Arabidopsis thaliana: one gene and its partners. The protein of the gene in region 2 purifies or fractionates together with the protein of the main gene of each other region. This does not show direct contact. Each region holds a gene or a part of one and is shown on either strand. Other genes may lie near its edges. The genes, in order: AT1G12230, AT3G53580, hemf2 and AGD2.

Region 1 (5,339 bases), on a different chromosome or scaffold from region 2:
TAATCTAGGTATTTCATAATTATTGGTATGAACCCACAATAATTAATCACAAACAACATGTCGTCAAAGGAAAAACGCAATCACACAGGAAAAAAATGATTGAACTAAATTTCAATTATCTTTTTTTTTTGTCAACAACTAAATGTAAGACGTACGAATTTGTAAACATTAGAAGATAAGATTTATAACATGGTACGTTTCTGCTTGTGTGAAAATTACTAAATGACATTAAAGAAGGTGGATAGAGAAGTGACTAGACATCAGATAATGCATCTGACTGAGATTGATAAGTTTATGTTGATCCTCTTCATTGTCTTCATGATATTTATCATTTGGTACACATAAATTCCCAATTTTTTTTTTGGATTTAAACCGTCTTTCTCGCCCTAAAAAAACTCATCTTTTTATCATTTATCTTAGAATTTGTCAAACAAACAGTGTTTGGCCTATGTCCAACTTTTTTTTGTCTAAGAATTTTTTTATTTATTTTCAGTCCATAGTTAAATTTTTAGTTTAGTTTGAACTTTAATAGAACCCGATTGGTTTTACAAAAACAATCGGTTCAATTTTGGTTTATCGGTACAATCATGACTCAGAGATCTGAGAACCGACTAAGTCAATTACAGAGAAAAAAAGACCGAAGTTCAGACGAAACAACATGAAAAGGATTTGGTTTTAGACTTTTAGTCTTAAAACTAAAGTCTCTTATCTTGTAGCCCAAGTCTCAGACATGATGAACAACAAGCCACGAAAAAGATAAAGAGGGCAGGAAGATAAACAGGGTAGTGTTCAAGTAACATGGACACTTAGTTCTCTTATTGATACAGATCCTTATTGATGAAGAGAAAAGCTGTGTATTTAGACATTAGGAGGTGGCCAAATCTTCCCGAAAAGCTCTTCAACACGTTTCGCTTGGTTCGCATAACCTTCAACACCGGCTGATAAAAGCTCCACTGATGCAGGACCCATAGATGAAGCCAAGCTTAGCTGGTCCCATTTGACCAGCTAAACCAGAATCAAACAAACAGGGTGAGACACTGGTTTAGTGAAACCAGAAGCAAATGAGTGTTGGTTAGCTTCAGAACTAACCTCTTTGTTGGTGAAGTGGTAATGTGTTGCAGTTTCAGGAGTAAGTTTCCGAACAAATGAGTATTTTTCATCATCGGGAATGGCGGGTGAATCTTTAAGAGATTGCAGTACCTTTAATGGTGCAATGACATAATCGACCCTGAGATTGAAGAGAACATTGAAAGTTAGAATGTGATCAGAATCCATTGATGGTCGAAGCTATGATTTGGAAGTTTGAGTTTACCCGAGAAGACTGAACAAGTCTTGTTTGTTCCGGACAGCAGCAGCCATCAGCTTGGACTTGTAACCATACTTGTGAATGTAGTTATATGATCTTTTGACCAAGGCCAAACCAGGATCTTCTCCCGATTTAATAGCAGATTCAATCTCGGTATCTCCCGAATGATTACGCGCCCAATCCTAATGATTTTAAGATATTAACTTTGGCATATCACTGAAATCACTTAGCAGCATCTGTTTAAAAAATGGTTACCCTGAGGCGACCGACGAAAATCTGAATGACAGAAGCACCGGCTTGAGAAGCTGCTGCAGCTTGTGCAAAGCTGTTGATGAATGCAAAACGAAATTATAAAGTAAACAAATCAGATGGATAGACAATTCTAAAATAAAAGAGTCAAAAGGTATGTTTTATGGTACCTGTAAACAAAGGTCATATGCGTTTGGATTCCCTCTGATTCCAACAATCTTGCAGCTTCAATACCCTATGAGAGGGATAAGCACAATACTAAGAGACCAGTAAAAGGTAAAGCTTTGGTATTTGCTGAAAATAATCTTACTTGCCAAGTTGCAGGGATTTTGAATAGGAGCCGGTCGTGTGGTACATCGATTTCATTGTATAGTCTCAGCAGATCATGAACCTACACACATCATCACATCACAAGTTAGTGATTTGAAGATACAGGAGACATATAATCAAATTATCTTATATATATGGTGTAGTAACTACCTTGCGGATAATGCCATTTGTGTCATAAGCAAGACGTGCATCCACTTCAGTAGAAACTCGACCTGGAACGAGTTTGACAAGATCGCCACCTACGTTGACAATAGCCTGCACTTTTCTCATCAGTAATAAGGGCAAAAAAAGCTTTTAAGCAGCAAAGATCTGGAAGTGGAAAAACAGATAAGGGATAAGAAGATCAACCTTATTGAAAAAGCAAGAGAGTCGAGATTCTGTGGTTTCAAGCCCTGCACAAGAAGAATCCGCCAAAGCCATGTCCACAGCATTCTAATCATGATGTAAAAATGTCAAAATTAAATGAGCCCAAAACAAGAGATGTCATATACTATCATCTAAGAATCAAAACTCTTGAAATGCTTACGCGGAAAATGGTATCAGGTAGACCACAGATACCCAGAAGAAGAGCAGAGCTAACAGTAGCTGCAGTCGGCGGAAACCTGCAGATCAGTAAAATACAACAAAGGTATCAATCCAGCACAATTAGAAAACCAAAAGGTTATACTATCTGGTTTTCACAATAACTAAAGGTTAGAAGTTATACTTGTGAGGGAGTGAGTTTTTACATCTTAAGCTAATTTCTTTCTTGTATCCTCGATCCAGAGAAAAACTCAGTACAATCTCAAGTTAAGAATGTCTGACTCCATTTTTATGATATACCAGTGTAACTAAAGTCTCATGAAGTAGAGATATATATCATACCTCTCAAAGTCATCGAAAACGACAGTATCAGGAACAATCTCACTAAAAGCTGAAACAGCATTTAGCTCATTGTTCTCACCTGAAAAAAAAAACACAATTTCATCAAACAACTCAATGATCATCTAAAAGCATTCCAGAAGAAATAAAGTTGAGAACTTTAGGAAAACCGATATCATCCAAGAACAATGTTAAACACCAAATACACAATTTGTTTCTTCAAATTCAACCATAAATCAACACTGTTCAGCTAAGAACTAAAGCAACCAGAAGGTCCTGAACTAAGAAAGGTAAACCAAAAATAGCAACTTTGTCAAGCATAGTTTCCTAACAAGTGACTCAAGACAGTATAAAAACAAACCCACATAAAAAGAAAGCTTGAATCGTAGTCAATCTTTCAAAAACCCATACTTTTGTTTTGTCTTTCCAGAAATCGTATTTATTAATTAATGAGAAACACGATCATCAAAGATATAAACAAATACCAGCTTCGAGAGACGAAGACGCAGGAGAGGAGGAGGAACTAGCGGAAGCAAGAATCCGAGGAATCGATCGCCGAAGACTGAAGTTAACGGCGGGAAGAGGAGTAACGGAGAATCCGGCGGCGAGCGTCTTCCATCGTCCCTTCTGCGAAGTTCAAAGCTCGCATCCATTAGATAAAAAACAAACAATGCACAAATACATGCGATTGAAAGAAGTAAGCGAAGAGGAGAGTACTCGGATTGAAGCAGAGAGAGTTGCACAAGGCGGAGATTGCAACGAGAGTGGCATTTTTTTCGCTGAAGTTGATCTGAGTAAGCAGATCCAGCCGTTGATATCTTCCAATTAACGTGGGTCCCGCCTTTTCTAATTTATCCGAAAACTGTCAACGAGATAAGACAGTTAATTATTATTTTATTACAATGGTTAGGAACTTGCAAGTTTTTATTCATTTTCTCATGAGTCTCTGTGTAATGTTTCTATGAAGCCGAAACAAACACTCATCGTTTAGAGAAAGAGATAAGTACAAATCCAATGATCACTAACCAAAAGAACGATGAGAACGGTTATGCAAACAAGAAGAGACAAGGAAGAGATTTACACACCGGCAAATGTCTTTAGACCATGACAACAAAAGTTTGTAGAAGAAAGTGAAGTTCATTATGTTTCTCTCCACCGCCACCTGGATGAAGGTAAGAAACGGAGTTGAGTTGCTTGGTCCTCCCATTCAACCCTTTCTATCCATTCTCTCTCTCCATAATATATGACAAGTTCTTCACCCGCGATCCCACTTTTAGAATCCAATGGAAGCTTTCTCAGCTTTTCACATTTTTCTACGTGGATAACTTTCAGACACGGAAAATGCAGAGCCTTTGCATAGATTCTCTTGAGCCCGCGTAATTCAAACAGGTGTAGTGTCTCCAATTTCCTAAAAGGAACAATCGTAGCTGAATGCTCCTCAGCTTTCTCTTCACTAATTATATCCTCTACTTCCTTTGAGAACCCAACTTCAAGAAAAGTAAGATTAGGAGCAAACAAAAGCCACGTCAAATCCTTAAGACCATGGCATTTAGCTATAAAGACTCTGGAGAGGTTTGAGAAGCATGGAGTTGTGGGACTTTTGTTCCGAGACGATGATGAAGTTGTCCTCTCTATCTTTATCTCCCTCATTCCACATCTTTTTATCCCGAGCTTGCGGAGATTACCCATGGTTGGCAAAGTCAATACTCTCACTGATTCTTCCTTAAGGTACTTAAAATCTACCTCTTTTATACATTCCACCAACCTTTGAGAGCATAACAATGGCTCTGCAACCAAACTTGATGATATATCTAGGGTTATAACTTCTAGATGTTCTAAGAGCTGCAGCTCCTTCACTAAACTCATATCTAGCAACAGTCTGGAATCTCGTAGTCCCAATGTCCTCAAATTCCACAAATTTGATATCCCTAATATACTCCCAAGACTGCTCATGTGTTCGAGATTCAGATGTATTAGCTTTTTCAATGTCCATAAACCAACGGGTAGTTGATGTATACATGTATATGACAAGTTGAAATATCTCAAAGAGGCCAGCTCTGATATTTCTTCTGGTAATTCATTAAGACTCTGATTCTCTGATAGATCTAAAACCACCAGATGAGGCATACATCGAAAGAATTCAGCCGAGATCTTTACCACGTCGTTCTTTTGGAGAAATAGAGTTGTAAGTGCAGCACACTCGTGACTGTCAAATATCTCTTCAATCTCATTATTCATCAAAGAAATCTTTCTCACAGTGTTCCAATCCTTGACTTTTGGTACTTCACGTAACCCAACACCAGCTCGCACAATACATTTCTCCTTTTGCTTCCCAAGATCGGATGATATCCATAGAGCCATCTCACGAACCACATCATGCATTTTCACGTTTGATTTGTTCCTTTCTTCCTCCAACAACAAACATGCACGGACAAGGGTACCAATTATCTCATAACCTTGGTTAATATTCCTCTCTCTGCCTTCTTTTTCATTTATGAATCCCTCACTTATCCAGTAGTCTACCAACCCCTCTTTATCAATAAGATAGTCTTCAGGAAACAGAGAGCAATAGAGGAAGCAGGATTTCATCAGC
Region 2 (4,935 bases):
CGAAAGAACATTAAGTAATAACTATTAACGCCTAAGTCTTGTATCAAAAAGTTAAGAAAAATGATTTGTGGCACTAATGGACTACTATATAGAAGAATGGGTCAAGAATATTCCACACACATGCAACAGACTCCAAAAGTTGTCTGCCAAGCTCCCGAACAAGATCAATGGGAAATGAACGGTAGCTGTTTTTGCGGAGAAAATCATATAAGCTTGGTCCAAGCTTCTCAAATACCTGTTGAAACCATTTAAACCCATGCGCAAGTTCTTTTAACTCACATAACATTTGGGCGTGAAGAAATTGCATTTTCCCCTCAAACTTGTCAAATAAAGGTAACAGCACTTACAATACAAATATGATTACGATAGTCAAACCAATTCCGTATTTGCACACAACTGCAAGGAATTGAAAAGCTTATACCAAATGTAATAAAATTAAAACTAGCGAAGAAATAGTAAGAGGAAAGAAATATTCTTACCGAGAACCACCGACATCATGCCTTGTAAGCCTCTGCAGCACGTCAATTTCGATCATGGCAGCTTCACGATACTTGTTTATGGACCGTATAACTTTGATTGCCACGACTTCTTTGTTTTTATTATCAAAGCATTCCAATACTTGTCCAAATGTACCTGCCAAAATACAATCCAATTGATTAAGATAACTGGCGACCAAATAAACATATTTCTCCTACACTTTGAAAAACAGAATAATCTAATCATAATGATTATATAAACATTTTCGCAAGAGATGACTAACCTTCACCCATTTTGCTGAGAATTTGATCTGCACGCACAATAGAAGAGGCATGTCAATGTAAACCTCCATGATAAAGTCTGTGAAACGTAACAGATAAGATGTCGAAAGACTCTGTAACATAAGACTCACATCGTGGAGTCAAAGTATCCCCAACAACAAAGACATAATGGCCGTCTTTATCATCTGGTCTCCAGGGAGGAGAGCCCTGACGAGGAAGGCCATTATAGAACATGTTTGGGTAAACAAAATTGGGAACTAAACCACTCGCAAACTCCGGACCATAGTACAACGGAGGTTGAAATACCTGAAAGAAAAAAACACATCAGCTGAAACTTAGCTCAAGCACACAAATAAAAATCTTAATTTCTTACTAGTTAACACAATTCGCAGTATCTTATGAAAACAACAAAAGAACAGTCCATTGATACCAATACAATATGTGGACAATTCGTTACCGTGGGTGGAGGAGGAGGAGGAAGAAGAGGCGGAGCAGCATCCCAAGTCAATCGGGGACGTTTCCTGGGACGCTTATCAACGATCCGATGAGGGAATTCAACATTCCTCTGAGTTTCTAAGATCATCGCGATCGAGCTAGCTTTATCACGATACACACTGCTTTGCATAAAGGATTAGAAAAATGCAAATCCAGAGCTGAAATTCAGAAACCCAGATTATGAACAGCGAGAGAATTGCGATTGAATTTCGAATCTAATTAGAGGGATAATAAGATTCCGAAATTCGAAACCCTAGTTATCTTCAATTTGGGGGGGATCTATCTCCAGAAGATAACTAAAAAAGGTGGGAAAAGTAACAGAAAAATATATTAAAAAAAGTGGAAGTAATGTAGCTAATAAACTAACCGCAAATTTCTCTCACACAGAGTAATTTAAAACGTTGAATTAGTCGCTGTCGTAATTTGATCGCCGGAATTCAGATCGGAGAAACAATAAAAATGCTCACTGAATTGGAATTGAAGAAAAAAATCTCAGGAGAAAATATTTAACAGCGAAAGAGACTGAAATGAGAGAGAGAGAGAGAACCTGAGGAAGAGAACAGCGAAGGAGCGACAGAGGCTCTGGAAGTTCTTAATGGGCTTTTTTAGTCAGGCCTTTATTAAATATATGTTGACTAAAGAAACGACATGATGTTATTACTGTTGAGGATAAAAACGACGTGGAGTTCAGTTATTTAATATCAGAACAATGGGGTGTTTTCTCCAAAGTCTTTTAATATGGAGGAGACGGGAGAGTCGTTGAACAAGAAAAATAATCTGAAGCAGCCATGGAGATAGCCGCCGTTAGCACTGTCTCCGTCGCGCCACAATCGCGCAGAGTGTCGAATGCGTTCTCCAGGAATCTAGGATCCGTATCTTCTCTTTCGTTTGGTTTCTTTGAGAAAGAATATTGCTTTAAGAGCCCTAGCCTTCGTGTGTCTGCAGCAGCTTCCATGGACGCCGTCACAGCTGAGAAATTTTCTCCGGCGAGTTTTCTAGACAAAAAAGAAACCGGAGTTCTTCACTTTGTGAAATACCATGGCCTCGGCAATGACTTCATTTTGGTACTTTTGTTCACCGTTGAATTCTCAATTTGGTAATTTAACCCGAAATGTATCGAATTCTTACAAATGTTTTCAAATTTTTCGTCTTTGGAATTGGATTTTGTAGGTCGATAACAGAGACTCATCGGAACCTAAGATTACTCAAGAACAGGCGGCGAAGCTGTGTGATCGAAACTTCGGTGTTGGTGCCGATGGAGTGATTTTTGCAATGCCAGGAGTCAATGGTACTGATTACGCAATGCGGATTTTCAATTCAGATGGTAGTGAACCAGAGGTGGGGCTTTTCGATGATAATGTCTGGTGATATGTTGTTGCGCTCGAAGTCATTGGCTTTTGATTTTGTTCTTGTAGATGTGTGGCAATGGAGTTCGATGCTTTGCTAGGTTCATTGCTGAGCTTGAGAATTTGCAGGGAAAACATAGGTATCTCTATCTGTATTGAGAAATATCTGTTTAGACTTGAGAGTTCCGAGTTTAGTCAAGCTTGATGTAACCTTAAGTGTCTATTTATTTGTTTTTGTAGTTTTACAATACATACCGGTGCCGGGTTGATTGTTCCAGAAATTCAAGATGACGGACAGGTAGATCATTTGGATTGATGTCTCATATTAGGTTTAGTCGTATTCATGATGATGGGTAAGGTAAAGTTTGGATTTTTATTTTTTGTGATTGATATTGGTACAGGTTAAGGTTGACATGGGGACACCGATTCTTAAAGCACAAGATGTGCCCACGAAATTGTCAGGGAACAAAGGTGAAGCTGTTGTTGAGGCAGAGCTAGTTGTTGATGGAGTAAGCTGGAATGTGACGTGTGTTAGTATGGGCAATCCTCACTGTATCACATTTGGTAAAAAGGGTGGACCGGTGCGTGTTTCGTTACTAGACTTCTAATCATATTATTTGTCTACACGTGAATTTCTTATCATTTGTAATTTTGGTTTGTGTCAACCAGAATCTGAAAGTTGATGATTTGAACTTACCAGAGATTGGTCCAAAGTTCGAGCATCATGAAATGTTCCCAGCTCGAACTAACACAGGTTAGTGGAGATTCATCGGCAGATGTATCCAGATTTCCATTGACTGATACAGCAAGACTTCTCGCTTATATTTGGATTTATATCCCTTTAGTTGTCTTACAGTTCTTTCTGTGTATCCGCAGAATTTGTTGAGGTCTTATCACGTTCTCATTTGAAAATGCGTGTGTGGGAGCGCGGAGCAGGTCCGCAAATTCCCCCCAATCTTCGAATATAATTCTCAGTTGATTATAAACAGTCTCTGTATCCTTATATGCTTAATGCTTACGCATACTTAAAACTGCAGGAGCAACTTTGGCCTGTGGAACTGGAGCTTGTGCTCTGGTTGTTGCAGCAGTCCTTGAAGGTCGAGCCGACAGGGTAAGTTTGGAATTTCAGAACTTAAAAAACTAGATAACAGTTTGCAAAATGGTACACTGGATTAGCAGTTTTTAAGCATTTTTTATGAAACCTGAATGTTGCATTGAATGGTTGGATGATTTGATTGGTAGACGATTGATGAGATTATGATTTTACTAAGTACTTTTCGTTCGCTTCGTCTCTTGTGGGAGAATCTTGTATTCGTTTTTTTTGGTTCTTCACTCTCACACAAATGTTTCTTGGATATTCATTGGAGCTTAAAGATTGTCATGAGCTGAGATTAGCTGCATGTGGTGACCTTGAGTTCCTCATATATGTATTGGTTTATGGTGGAACAGAAATGCACGGTGGATCTACCGGGCGGACCATTGGAGATAGAGTGGAAACAGGAAGACAACCATATCTACATGACGGGTCCTGCAGAAGCTGTTTTCTATGGATCAGCGCTGCTCTAATGGGCCTTCACAGTCGATGACTTCTCCTCTCTCTGTTGTTGTTCTTTTGGGGTCTGTGTGTTCTAATTCAAACGTGTGAAGCTCTTACCTGTCCTGCTAGATTGTGTTTCATGGATTTTGTTTATGTACTTTTATTGTTTTCAGAGTATCCAAACCTTTTGATTTGTTGCTGCATCTATGTTCATAATTTAAATCTTCTTTTCCTCGGAATATAGCTCTCTTCTACACTGATTCTCCACCAGACCAGACATTGTCAATGGCCGTGGTTGCACATAATGACAAGAGAAATGAAACTTGAGAGAATACAAAACCGCATATGTACATGATAAGATTGGTTAGCTTCCATATCTGCATAGATATTAGCTTATATGGTTAGGAATCAGGACAACATAACTGGTATCATAATATCTCCTAAGTATAATAACACAACTCTCATTAGTCTGATGTTAGCCTATCTCACACAAATATTTGTCAACGAGGTTTTACAGCGTGGAAAAAGCCACTGTCCAAGTTACTTCCAGGAAGTAAAGACAATGGCGAGGGTACAGAAGAAGATGACGGCGATGTTTTGGAGCAGAGTAATTTCGTTGTTTCTGAGAACATTTCGGGTTCTCGCACAGATTGGCAAATACCTTCAAGTTCTTTCACCACTTTTGACATTGGTGGTCTCGTCTCTGGTCTATCTTCACAACACCATAAAGCTAATTCCGCCAACTTCTTCACTTTATCGGGCGAACATTGTCCCATCCGACTATCCGCCACTGACAAAA
Region 3 (4,490 bases), on a different chromosome or scaffold from region 2:
GCAAGTTGTGTTGTGTAAGGTAAGCCATAATAACAACACCCATGTATTATTTGTGTGTGTGTGTGTATATCCGGGGACTAAATTGTTTCTTTGTCCCCATTGGACGACATCGAAGAAAAAATATCACGGGCGTTTCTTGTATCAAGACAAATGAGACAGTGACGTTTACTTAATCCGAAATTGTTTAACCTAACACAAGTCCCACTCGTTGAAACTTGGAAACGATTTTTATACTAAACCAAATCATCAGATTCAATGTTATCACTCTATTTGAGTGTTGTTGTGTTCTGTCTAGTGAACAGTTACCGAGCAAGTGGCATGCGTGCGTGCACCGAGAGGCTCGGCTATTTGAGCCAACGGCTCTTATTTTTACTGTGTCAGTAAAAAAAATTAAAAGTTAATTACTTTTATCATCATCATCACGATTGGTACTATATACTCCATCATCAACCATCATGATCTTTGTTTGTCAGTGACTCATGATGAGATGACGCCAAATTACAATTTCTTTATCTCACTCACTTTTCATTAGACTCTTTACTCTTTTAAGGCTTTTAAAGACAAAACTAATAAAAGAGCTAATTGGGGAAATAACCACAATTAATTAACTAAAGCCACTCTTTTGGATTGATACAAGCATCTAATAGTTTCCATTCCTCAGTTCCTTCTTCAGGTTTCTGCATCCGCAACAAGAGACAAACACCATCAGTAGTTAAGTTTCATTAGCTAAGATGAAACAAGATTTAGTTTCTTGAATCAAGAAACTTTACATGGTCATATTCTCATCTCGCAGATAGCGGAAGAGAGACAAGGATACTCTCTATTCGTCCTCCAGTCTTCAGACCAAATGTTGTTCCGCGGTCATACACCTTTATTTTTACCATCAGCAACAAAACATGAGACGAGGTTTCAAGAGATATTTATACAGAAAGAAAAACAAAGCTAGTAGTATCCAATTACGAAGTTGAATTCAACATATCTGCCCCTTCGCAGCTGTTGCCATGCCTTGTGTTGCTCGTTAAATGGTGTGTCTTTACGTTTCTCTACTATGGGTATAGAAGCTGGTATCACTGAGCTTGCACATTCTGCAAAATTCATCTCAGTATTCAAATAAGTCAACTAGGAAGTTTCTTAAAACAAAATGTCACAAGTTATATCTTGGTCACTACCAGTGGCGAATGACAGAAGCATCTCTTGATCATAGTCATTCAAATCATCAAAAAATATCCCTCCAAGCCCTCGCCTCTCATCACGGTGCTGCAGGCAAGACCGTAAAGTTTTTAGTGTTTTCAAATCCTAGGCGACAACTTATCACTGTATCAACCTAAACAAAACCTTGAGGCTCTAAATCTATTCTTGCACATACATGACTCTAAAACTAAGGTCTTTTAGTTCCACAAAGTGCTAAGATCTCACCAAACAATCAGAATAGCGTTAAAGGAACTGCAGACCTTAATGTAAAAGTAGTCATCACACCATTTCTTAAACCAAGGGTAGAACGACGGATCAAATTTATCGCAGGCTTGCTTTTAAACCTACACAAAGAAAGATATTTCAATCAGCATCTCCATAATCACAAAGCTTCAAACTTTCAGAACAATGGATCAGGTTTAACGACCGAATGAAAGTGCTTGACGTCTTCTTCAAAGATGTAAGCAGGTGTGAAGTCAGTCCCACCACCGAACCACCATTGCCTCGGAGCTCCAGGAACATCTACAAGTGATGAAATCAAATGCTTCATCCAACCAAAAAATTGGAACTTTACACTTCTCAAAGAGGATTAAGGTCTTACCCTTTGGAGCATCGGTCTCGAAATAGCGGTAATTGAAATGCAGAGTCGGAGCAAAAGGGTTCTGAGGATGCAAAACCTAGAATGTAGGATCAAGCTCAATCAAAGAACTCAGAGACCATATCAACAGCAATGTCGACTGATAGAGAGAGAGAGAGAGAACTCACCGAGCTGGTTCCAGCGGCAAAGAACGGAATCGGACCAGGTTTTTGCTCAGACGTGGCAGCTTTAGCAGCTCTATAAGCTTCAGGAGGCATAACACCATAAATCACAGAGACATTAACTCCAGCTTTCTCCCATACATTTCCGTCTTGCAAAATACGACTGATTCCACCACCTCCACCGGGTCGAGACCAAACATCTTCCTTGAATTTAGGACCTTCTTCGACTGCTTCAATGGCTTCACAGACTTTATCTTGAGCAGTTCTTATCATTTTCTCGAAACGAGCCCTAACCGAATAAGAAGAAGATTGAGTTTGATCGCCGTCGGAGACTCTGAGGAAAGTGAAAGGTCTTTCTGTTTCCGGAACTTCTTTCTCGATTGAGACTGAGCATCGCAAGTCGAAATGTGGTCTCTTTACGGAACGAGGAAAGTGGTAAGTGAAGTAATTCGGAGAAGATTTGAGACGATGAGAAGAGAAGAGAATGAAGGAAGAAGGAGAAGTGAAGAGAGTCGAAGAGTGAGACGCCATTTTCAGCGATCGATCGAATCCAAGTTTTCACCTTTTTGCTGAAGATAGAAGATGATAAGGAATCGTCAAAGCTCTGTTTTTTTAACCAAACCAAACCCGGTTATTTCCGGTTTAGTTCAACCAAAAAACCTCATACTCGGTTTAGTTCTCTTCTTTATTTATCTACTCTGTAAGACTGTAACAGAGAGAACAACGTTGATCTGTTCCTTACAGTACAAGCAACTATTAAACATGGAATGATCTTTGTTTACTTGGAAAGCAAGCGAGTGAGAGAAGAAGAGTCAAAGACAGGAGGACTGCAAGTGAAGTGTTGACAAACAAGAGCCACCACTTTCTCTGAGTTTCTGTTCTTCTTAGCCATCTCAGCTACATTACTGTTATGCTCTTCCCAAAACTCGATTTCATCAGAACTAGAGGGATCTATGTGAATCACCTGCTCAGTAAAACCACCAAAAGTCACAAATCTTGAATCTAGAAATTTGGATAATTTTTTAAGCTCTTACCGTTTTATTAGGATCATAGACTGAATGTGCTGCAGAAAGCATGTTGGTAAGCTCTGGGGAAGACTTAGAACCAACCAATACAACTTGTTTCCTCGACGGAACAGAGATCATATCTGCGGAGCAGCACATTAATGGCACAGCCACCGCCAGTTCTCTTAACCTCAACTCAAAGACTGCCTGCAAAAACAACAACAAAGAGACTCAATAATCTCTTTCTATGAATAGCAAATGGGATTAGTTGTTTGTTTGTTTACCAGGAGACGATGTGCCGTGTTGAGGTAGGATTCAGCTTTTTCTCCGGCGACTATGGAAGCTAACCTCACAAGATTGATAGCAGAAACAGAGTTCCCTGAAGGTTCTGCACCATCATGATCTTCTTTTACACGAAGAAGAACCGATGGGTCTTGTCCTTCAGTATTGAAGTATGCTCCTCCTTCTCGGTCCAGATATAACTCATCCTAAAATGTTTTTAACTTTTTTAGCCAAAATCAAGAACTTTAACAAATCGAGCTAGTAAAGATCTCACTTGCCTGTGTTTCTTGAAGTTTAATCGCCCACTTAAGCCATTCGATCCCACCTCCATTCTCGTAAAGATCGAGTAAACCAGAGATCAAGAAAGCATAATCGTCTAAGAAGGCAGGAGCTTTGGATGGCCCCTGTCTGTAACTGTGTTGTAATCTGCGAGACTGCTCATCATAGAGATTTCCTCTGATAAACAAAGCTGCTTTCTCTGCAACCTCTATGTAATCCTCTGGCTGAAAAATGAGTCTTCTAATTACAAAACGGTCAAAGAAGAAATTAAAGGAAAGGGTGTAGCATTCATTACCTGACTATTCACCACAGGGAAATAATATTTGGTGCTTTCAGGCTCAGCCTTAAGAATCTTGGAAGCTCTTGCGAAAGACGAGATAACAAGACCGTTCCAAGACACGATTATCTATGAAAGAAATCTTAAATGGTTAACAAATCTGAAGAAACAGTAGAGAAGACAACATGAGAATTCCAAGAAGAGTATTACCTTATCATCTAGATGCGGCTTAGGTCGCTTCAATCTGACATCGAAAAGCTTTCTTCGGCATTCACCTAATATCTCCTGATACTTCTCAACAGAGAGGCTAAACTTTGATGCCATAGCAGACGTCTCATTTCTTTCGATCAGCACGTTCTTCCCAGCAAATTCATTGTGCGGGTCACTCCTGCTCGAAAGATCGCAGTTACCTGATTTCTTAACATAATAATGCTCCTTGAAAAGATCAGCATTCTCCCCGAGGACTTCATCAATCTTGAAACCAAACACACACGCAAAACAAATGTCAGTATGCAGAGGGAAACCAGAGTCAGCTCATGAATATATCATATATCAGAGAAAAGAACCTCATCGCTTGTCCATATATAGAAAGCTCCTTCTTTCTTTCTCTTTGCCCCCTCGAACTCAAAGCTATCGGCATCTTCAGCTGAGAATATTCCACCTTCAGGTGCAATCATGTCTCTTCTAAGATAATCAAG
Region 4 (5,553 bases), on a different chromosome or scaffold from region 2:
AAATAAAAAAGTAAATATGAAACCTTCCAATAAAAATTTTGACTTTAACGATTAAATTAGTCTCAACATTCAGAGAATCAGCAATTAGTATTGAAGAATCAGTAATCTTTAGAAAATATAAAAGAAGAAGAAGTGCTTACGGGGAGGTGTCGAAGAAGTTGATACCGAGACGGAAAGCCTCGCGCACGGTGGCGACGGCATCATCTTCGGCGACTGGACCGAAGACACTTCCGAGCGGAGAGGCACCAAAACCAACGGCGCTAACCTTAAGCCCTGTGTTCCCCAAAGCTCGAAGCTCTATTTTCGTCATTGTTGATAGGATCAACAAAAAAACTGGTTCTCGTTGATGAGAGACGCGAGAAGACAACACTTGTGTTGTGTTTTTGGATATTTTTGCCCACACGGTGGCTCAACAAGCCTAAATTACGAAAACACCCATCCCGGTCCAATTTTAGATTTATTTAACCAATCCAATTTTATATTTTTTTGACGTTCTTCCTCAGTCCAATTTAAATATTTTATTTTCCACACTAGTTCACTTATTTGCACTTTGATTTCGTTGTTAAAATACTTTGCCAAATTGCTTGAAACACTGGTGTCAAAAGTGTCTTCTACAAATTCCAGAAAACAATGGAAACGACATTATTTTAACTCAAATCATGTCATTAAAGAGGGTGATGATGATGAGGAACGATTACAAACAAGGTTCTTCATTTGTAAAGCTGCTTGAATCTTCGACATGCCTCTAAGATGTTCTCTCTGTGACCAAAGGCACTGACACGAACGAACCCTTCACCCCCTGGTCCAAACCCACTTCCTGGAGTTGTAACCACATGAGTCTTCTCCAGAATCTCAGCAAACACATCCCATGAGCTTTGGTTCGGGAAGTGAACCCATACGTAAGGCGCATTCTTTCCTCCATATACATCATACCCGAGAGATGTGAATGTGTCAATGATTATGTTTGTGTTTTCTTTATAGAATCCAATCACCTTATGCATTGCCTGCAATGATTCAAAAGACAACAAAATAAATCATTTTGCATATCTGAACTAGTGGGAACTGGTTTGAGATCTCTCTTTAGCTAAGCTAACCTCAAGTCCTTCGGGTGTAAGGCAAGCAAGAGCACCAGCTTGAGAGATATTAGATGCACCATTGAAACAAGTGCAGATAATCCGATTGAAGTCTTTGGCAACAGGGAAACCGTCTGAATAGAGTAGCTTTTTCGGGATGACAGTCCAACCAAGTCGAACTCCAGTGAAACCAGCATATTTGCTGAACGAAGCTGTCTCCATAGCGACCTGTAAGCGGTTGTACACATGAAGAAAGATGTTGAAAAATGGACCTTTTAATGTTATAATCAATCAGTCTATTACCTCCTCTGCTCCAGGGATTTCGAAGATGGATCGTGGGTTATCATCAGACATGTACATTGCATAGGCGGAATCATACACTATTATAGAACCGTTCTTCTTTGCAAACTCAACTAACTGCGTTAGTTGCTCTCTCGTGGCAGCAGCACCCGTAGGGTTATTTGGGGAACAGAAGAAAATTATATCTGTCCTGCCAACGGTGGACAAGTCGGGAAAGAAGCCATTCTCTGGAGTGCATCTCATGTACTCGATGTTTCCATACTTTTGCACATCAGTGTTAAATTGCCCAGTCTGACCCATAATAACACTGGAGTCCACATAAGCCTGTATAATCCAAAAAAAACGAGACAGCATAGTTCCACGTTAAAATGGAGCAAAAGTAGAGAAGACTACAACTGCAATTTGGTTTCTATATGCCCAATTACCGGATATGAAGGATCCTGAACAGCAATTGTAACATTGGAACCAAACATAACCTGCAAGAAGTGGAATCAAGAAACAGCTGTTCATATTTCTTAATCTTGTATCAATTACAGATGAATAGTCAGCAATAAAACAAACCTGGAGACGTGAGATATCACATTTAGCTCCATCAGAAACAAAAACGTCATCATCCCCTATGCCAAGGCCACCGTAGAATGTTTTCGCAATAGCAGCTCTCAGTGGCTTTTCACATATGTGAAATCAAGGTTAGTTTGGATAAAAACTTAACAGATTAAGCTTTAAGATTTTACATGTAAGAAACAGGTTTAAATCCATCTTCTCTTGAATTTAGCAGCAGTTCAAGACTATCCATAATAAAATTGAAGTGACGTGCAAAGGCAGATAATAAAGAAATGATAACAACGCAATAAGGTGGAAATGAAGGGTGCACTGACCTTTGCACCTTGTTCAGCACCATAACCACTATATCCCTCTATTGTTGACAACTCATGAGCTTTCTGTCAGAGAAAAAAAACATGATTAATCTCTAGAGATTACATGCCTGTGTGAATAGTATAGCAAACAAAAAAACTATGCTACCAGAATAATTTTCATTGTTAGATTACAGAGAAGTTCTCGTTTAATAATCCAAATACGCCAAAACAGAAAATATGTTATACATTTTTGTCAAAATGAACGAAATAATACATGTTAGGGCAGTGTTAGTAAAATCAGTTTAAAATATGCTAGAGCCCAGAGAAGGGCAAAGAGCACATGAAGCTAAGTTAAGATAAGGAGGTACCTTTGCCATAGCAGAAGTGATCACTTCAGGAATTGGCTCAGTTGTGTCGCCTATTCCAAGACTTATAACTTGTGCATCTGGATATTTCAACAAGTGTGCAGACCTTCTTCTTGCAATCTGTTTGCATCCACACAAAAAAATAAGAGAGAGGAGCATTATATACAGAATCAATGAGGATATATTAACTTATTACACAGATAGTTATAATATTTCAGATCACTAGAAGCTTTCAAAAATGTTAACTTGAAATGCCACTCCTTTAGGTATTTGAAATCTTAAATAGTAGTACCAAGAGAGTAACAGGTAACAAACCTCCGGGAATAGGTATCCAGCCTGAAGTTTGGACATGTTTGAATTCCGTGACACTTTGGTCTTATACTCTACATACAGAAAACAAAATCATGTATTGTAAGAAACAGATAAACAGCTAAAAGACGATAAATCATTAACTATGTTACTAATCATTACAGCAAAAACAACATGGAGTAGGAACATTACCGATCTTCTCTTGCGGCGTAGCAACACATTTGCAAGTATTGACCCGTTTTGCCATGGGTAAGCAAGCATTTCGAGTTCTGAAGCCAAAAAGGAAAGCAAACCAATAAAAAAATGAATCAATGATCATCACAAGCAAATGCACTGTTCTCTGGCCAAACAACACCATCCAACATCGACTTAAAAACCAAAGGATTGAAATTTCCAAGTAAATTCATAACATACAATTAATTTCTGGAAATGAATCCAATTTCATATTCATCCTCACTAGATTATATCAGTAGCAAACAGAGAGTAAAAGAAAACAAAACGACGCACCTGAGATTAAAATTTGAAGGGGCTAAGAAAGTGGATGAGGAAGAAGAGATCATCGAAGAAACTAACTGATGGGTCGACGACATTTTTCCTGCTTCGCACAAAGATTTTTTCAGACAAATTTGCAGAGCAAATGAACCATGGGAGATAGTTGGTGAGACTGATAAAACTAGGGTTCTTCTTCGGTTTGGTCTGAGAGGAAATTAATCCGGTTTGTTCCGGTTCGGTTTTACTAGAAATTTTTGGGAATTTTCCAATTCAGTTCAATTTATTTATTTCTCTCTCTGGCTCGGACAATGATTTTGCTCTGCGCCTGCTGGAAAACGCCGAGGAATCGCACGATTTCGTGAAGCTGCTACTAGATATCTGTATCTGAGTCAATTCGATTTCGTGGTAATTAATCTCGACCAATAGGGTTCTCCAAAAATCCCCTTTTCGATTGTTGTGTGTTTACGTAATTTTGTTTGTTTTGCTTCGTTGATTTCGTTGTCGAAAGAACGTAGCTTTAGTGGAAGTTCTGTGATTAAGAAGCAATGATTTAGATAGCTGTAGTGGTCGAATTAAGTTCAACTCCATCTTTGTTTGATCTACCCAGATTGATTTGATCACATAACTTGATTAGGCTTATACTTTTTTGTTTTACCTTGGAGTAGATGGATCTGGAAACTGAAAATCGAATAGCTTCCATTCTTTTAAGAGAAGCAGCAGAATTGAGGAGACAAGCTGAGAAAGATGGCGTCAGAGCATATCTTGAGAAGCCTAATGTAAGGCATCGACCTAACTCTAGATTTCTCACTGCTACAGTTCTTGGTGTTCAGCAAGGTATAATCTTTTGTTGACAGACTTTGCTTCTATCCAACAAAATCTAGTTTTTTTTTAGTTTATCTCTTATTTGTTTCTTCTTTATTCCATTCAGCAAACAAAGCTGTGGAAACCAATGAGATGTGGAGTCTTCGGAGTAAAGAGATTGAGTTTGGTGAAAGGCTCAAAAGAAAATCAAGAGATGAGAGCAGCAATGGTCAAAGTGAGCAGAACAATAGGAGGGATTTTTTAAAGAGATGTACTTCAGTTGATGAGAATGTTACTACTACTAGTTTATCACCATCATCAAGCCGGAGCAGAAGCAAAAGATGGCAATCAGAGGATGATGATGATGAAGGCTTAGGAGATGTCGAGGTTAAGACTTTTCTCCAATCAAGGTATTTCCATTATACTCAGATGCTGCCTGATTATTTCCTTTACAATAATGATCGAATTTGGGATCGGCTTTTGCTGATAAAACTTGTGATTCTGGTCTATGATAGGGTCAAGCGTGGCAGAGGTTCTGTTGGTGCTATGATGGATGAACCGCTACCCTGTCTTCCTGAGAGGGAATTGTCAAGAACTTCTGATACAGGAGATCGGAAGCTAGTGATTCAGCCAGAGCGATCACCTTTATTGAGACGTAGGACAGATTCTTCTTCTTCCGACGAGGAGGAAGTTTACAAACGGGCTCATAGAAAGAGAAAGGAGCATAAGAAGAAACTTAGTAAGAAACACAAGTCAAAAGAGAAGAAAAGGGATAGGAAGAAGAGAAAATATGGTAGGGACTAGATCTTTCCGGACAAAAGTAATTGCCTTTTTACACCGGCAGTGATGTTGTATCCATAAGATGATCATATTTCATTAATTCTTGTATTAGTAAAATGCGAATAAAAACTCTTTGAAGTAAGGTAGAGAGTGACATATCTTAGAGACTAATGATATATAGGTAGTAGAGACAACTATTGGTGTGGCCTATGAGGGTTCAGATTTGGTAAAACTCTTTGAAGAAAGGAGAGAGCGACATATCTTAGAGACCAATGATATATATATAGAGAGAAAACATCTTGAAACCATAGAAAAAGTTGTTGTTCATGCCTACATTGATACACATTCGCCGGACAAGTGACAGTTTGAAAGTTGAAAACAAAGACTAAAGTTTTCGACATTCATAACCAGTTCAGTGGTCATGCACTCTGTGTTAGGAGTCTTCAAAATGGTGATCAGTTTCGTCAAAGATCTCCTCCTGCAACCACAAGCCAAGCAATAATTAATCCGTGAAAAAGAATTTTTGTTTTTAACTTATATAAGATTCCTTACCTGCAGAAGTTCTTCAATGACATC

Evidence for each region.
Region 1: the proteins of AT3G53580 (region 2) and AT1G12230 fractionate together in Arabidopsis thaliana (co-fractionation; one large-scale study listed by BioGRID). This does not show direct contact.
Region 3: the proteins of AT3G53580 (region 2) and hemf2 fractionate together in Arabidopsis thaliana (co-fractionation; one large-scale study listed by BioGRID). This does not show direct contact.
Region 4: the proteins of AT3G53580 (region 2) and AGD2 fractionate together in Arabidopsis thaliana (co-fractionation; one large-scale study listed by BioGRID). This does not show direct contact.

The regions. Positions count from the first base shown.
Region 1 is NC_003070.9:4,146,228-4,151,566, reverse strand, and holds AT1G12230 (Aldolase superfamily protein), read right to left. Parts: upstream 3,606-5,339; 5' UTR 3,518-3,605; coding exon 3,464-3,517; intron 3,374-3,463; coding exon 3,232-3,373; intron 2,829-3,231; coding exon 2,750-2,828; intron 2,658-2,749; coding exon 2,592-2,657; intron 2,488-2,591; coding exon 2,412-2,487; intron 2,318-2,411; coding exon 2,234-2,317; intron 2,141-2,233; coding exon 2,036-2,140; intron 1,947-2,035; coding exon 1,866-1,946; intron 1,791-1,865; coding exon 1,726-1,790; intron 1,632-1,725; coding exon 1,562-1,631; intron 1,489-1,561; coding exon 1,313-1,488; intron 1,229-1,312; coding exon 1,090-1,228; intron 1,006-1,089; coding exon 859-1,005; 3' UTR 511-858; downstream 1-510. Other genes in the region: RPS5 (Disease resistance protein (CC-NBS-LRR class) family), read right to left, coding at 3,887-5,339.
Region 2 is NC_003074.8:19,862,743-19,867,677, forward strand, and holds AT3G53580 (diaminopimelate epimerase family protein), read left to right. Parts: upstream 1-1,888; 5' UTR 1,889-2,041; coding exon 2,042-2,317; intron 2,318-2,423; coding exon 2,424-2,591; intron 2,592-2,668; coding exon 2,669-2,739; intron 2,740-2,839; coding exon 2,840-2,897; intron 2,898-3,000; coding exon 3,001-3,180; intron 3,181-3,268; coding exon 3,269-3,353; intron 3,354-3,475; coding exon 3,476-3,535; intron 3,536-3,636; coding exon 3,637-3,710; intron 3,711-4,048; coding exon 4,049-4,165; 3' UTR 4,166-4,392; downstream 4,393-4,935. Other genes in the region: FC1 (serine/threonine-protein kinase AFC1), read right to left, coding at 121-235, 348-396, 480-633, 761-787, 890-1,064, 1,216-1,383; AT3G53590 (LRR receptor-like Serine/Threonine-kinase), read right to left, coding at 4,637-4,935.
Region 3 is NC_003075.7:1,410,805-1,415,294, reverse strand, and holds hemf2 (Coproporphyrinogen III oxidase), read right to left. Parts: upstream 2,511-4,490; 5' UTR 2,482-2,510; coding exon 1,957-2,481; intron 1,869-1,956; coding exon 1,793-1,868; intron 1,714-1,792; coding exon 1,592-1,713; 3' UTR 1,536-1,591; coding exon of another isoform or gene 1,530-1,535; 3' UTR 771-1,529; intron 678-770; 3' UTR 513-677; downstream 1-512. Other genes in the region: AT4G03200 (catalytics), read right to left, coding at 2,729-2,914, 2,985-3,161, 3,239-3,442, 3,515-3,739, 3,811-3,921, 4,003-4,266, 4,359-4,490. UniProt on the Arabidopsis thaliana protein: Key enzyme in heme biosynthesis. Catalyzes the oxidative decarboxylation of propionic acid side chains of rings A and B of coproporphyrinogen III.
Region 4 is NC_003075.7:16,171,137-16,176,689, forward strand, and holds AGD2 (Pyridoxal phosphate (PLP)-dependent transferases superfamily protein), read right to left. Parts: upstream 3,588-5,553; 5' UTR 3,495-3,587; coding exon 3,412-3,494; intron 3,174-3,411; coding exon 3,097-3,173; intron 2,979-3,096; coding exon 2,911-2,978; intron 2,716-2,910; coding exon 2,599-2,715; intron 2,315-2,598; coding exon 2,252-2,314; intron 2,040-2,251; coding exon 1,935-2,039; intron 1,850-1,934; coding exon 1,799-1,849; intron 1,698-1,798; coding exon 1,377-1,697; intron 1,302-1,376; coding exon 1,095-1,301; intron 1,005-1,094; coding exon 711-1,004; 3' UTR 545-710; downstream 1-544. Other genes in the region: AT4G33670 (NAD(P)-linked oxidoreductase superfamily protein), read right to left, coding at 141-310; AT4G33690 (G patch domain protein), read left to right, coding at 4,062-4,230, 4,325-4,607, 4,713-5,001; AT4G33700 (CBS domain protein (DUF21)), read right to left, coding at 5,411-5,455, 5,530-5,553. UniProt on the Arabidopsis thaliana protein: Required for lysine biosynthesis. Catalyzes the direct conversion of tetrahydrodipicolinate to LL-diaminopimelate, a reaction that requires three enzymes in E.coli. Not active with meso-diaminopimelate, lysine or ornithine as substrates.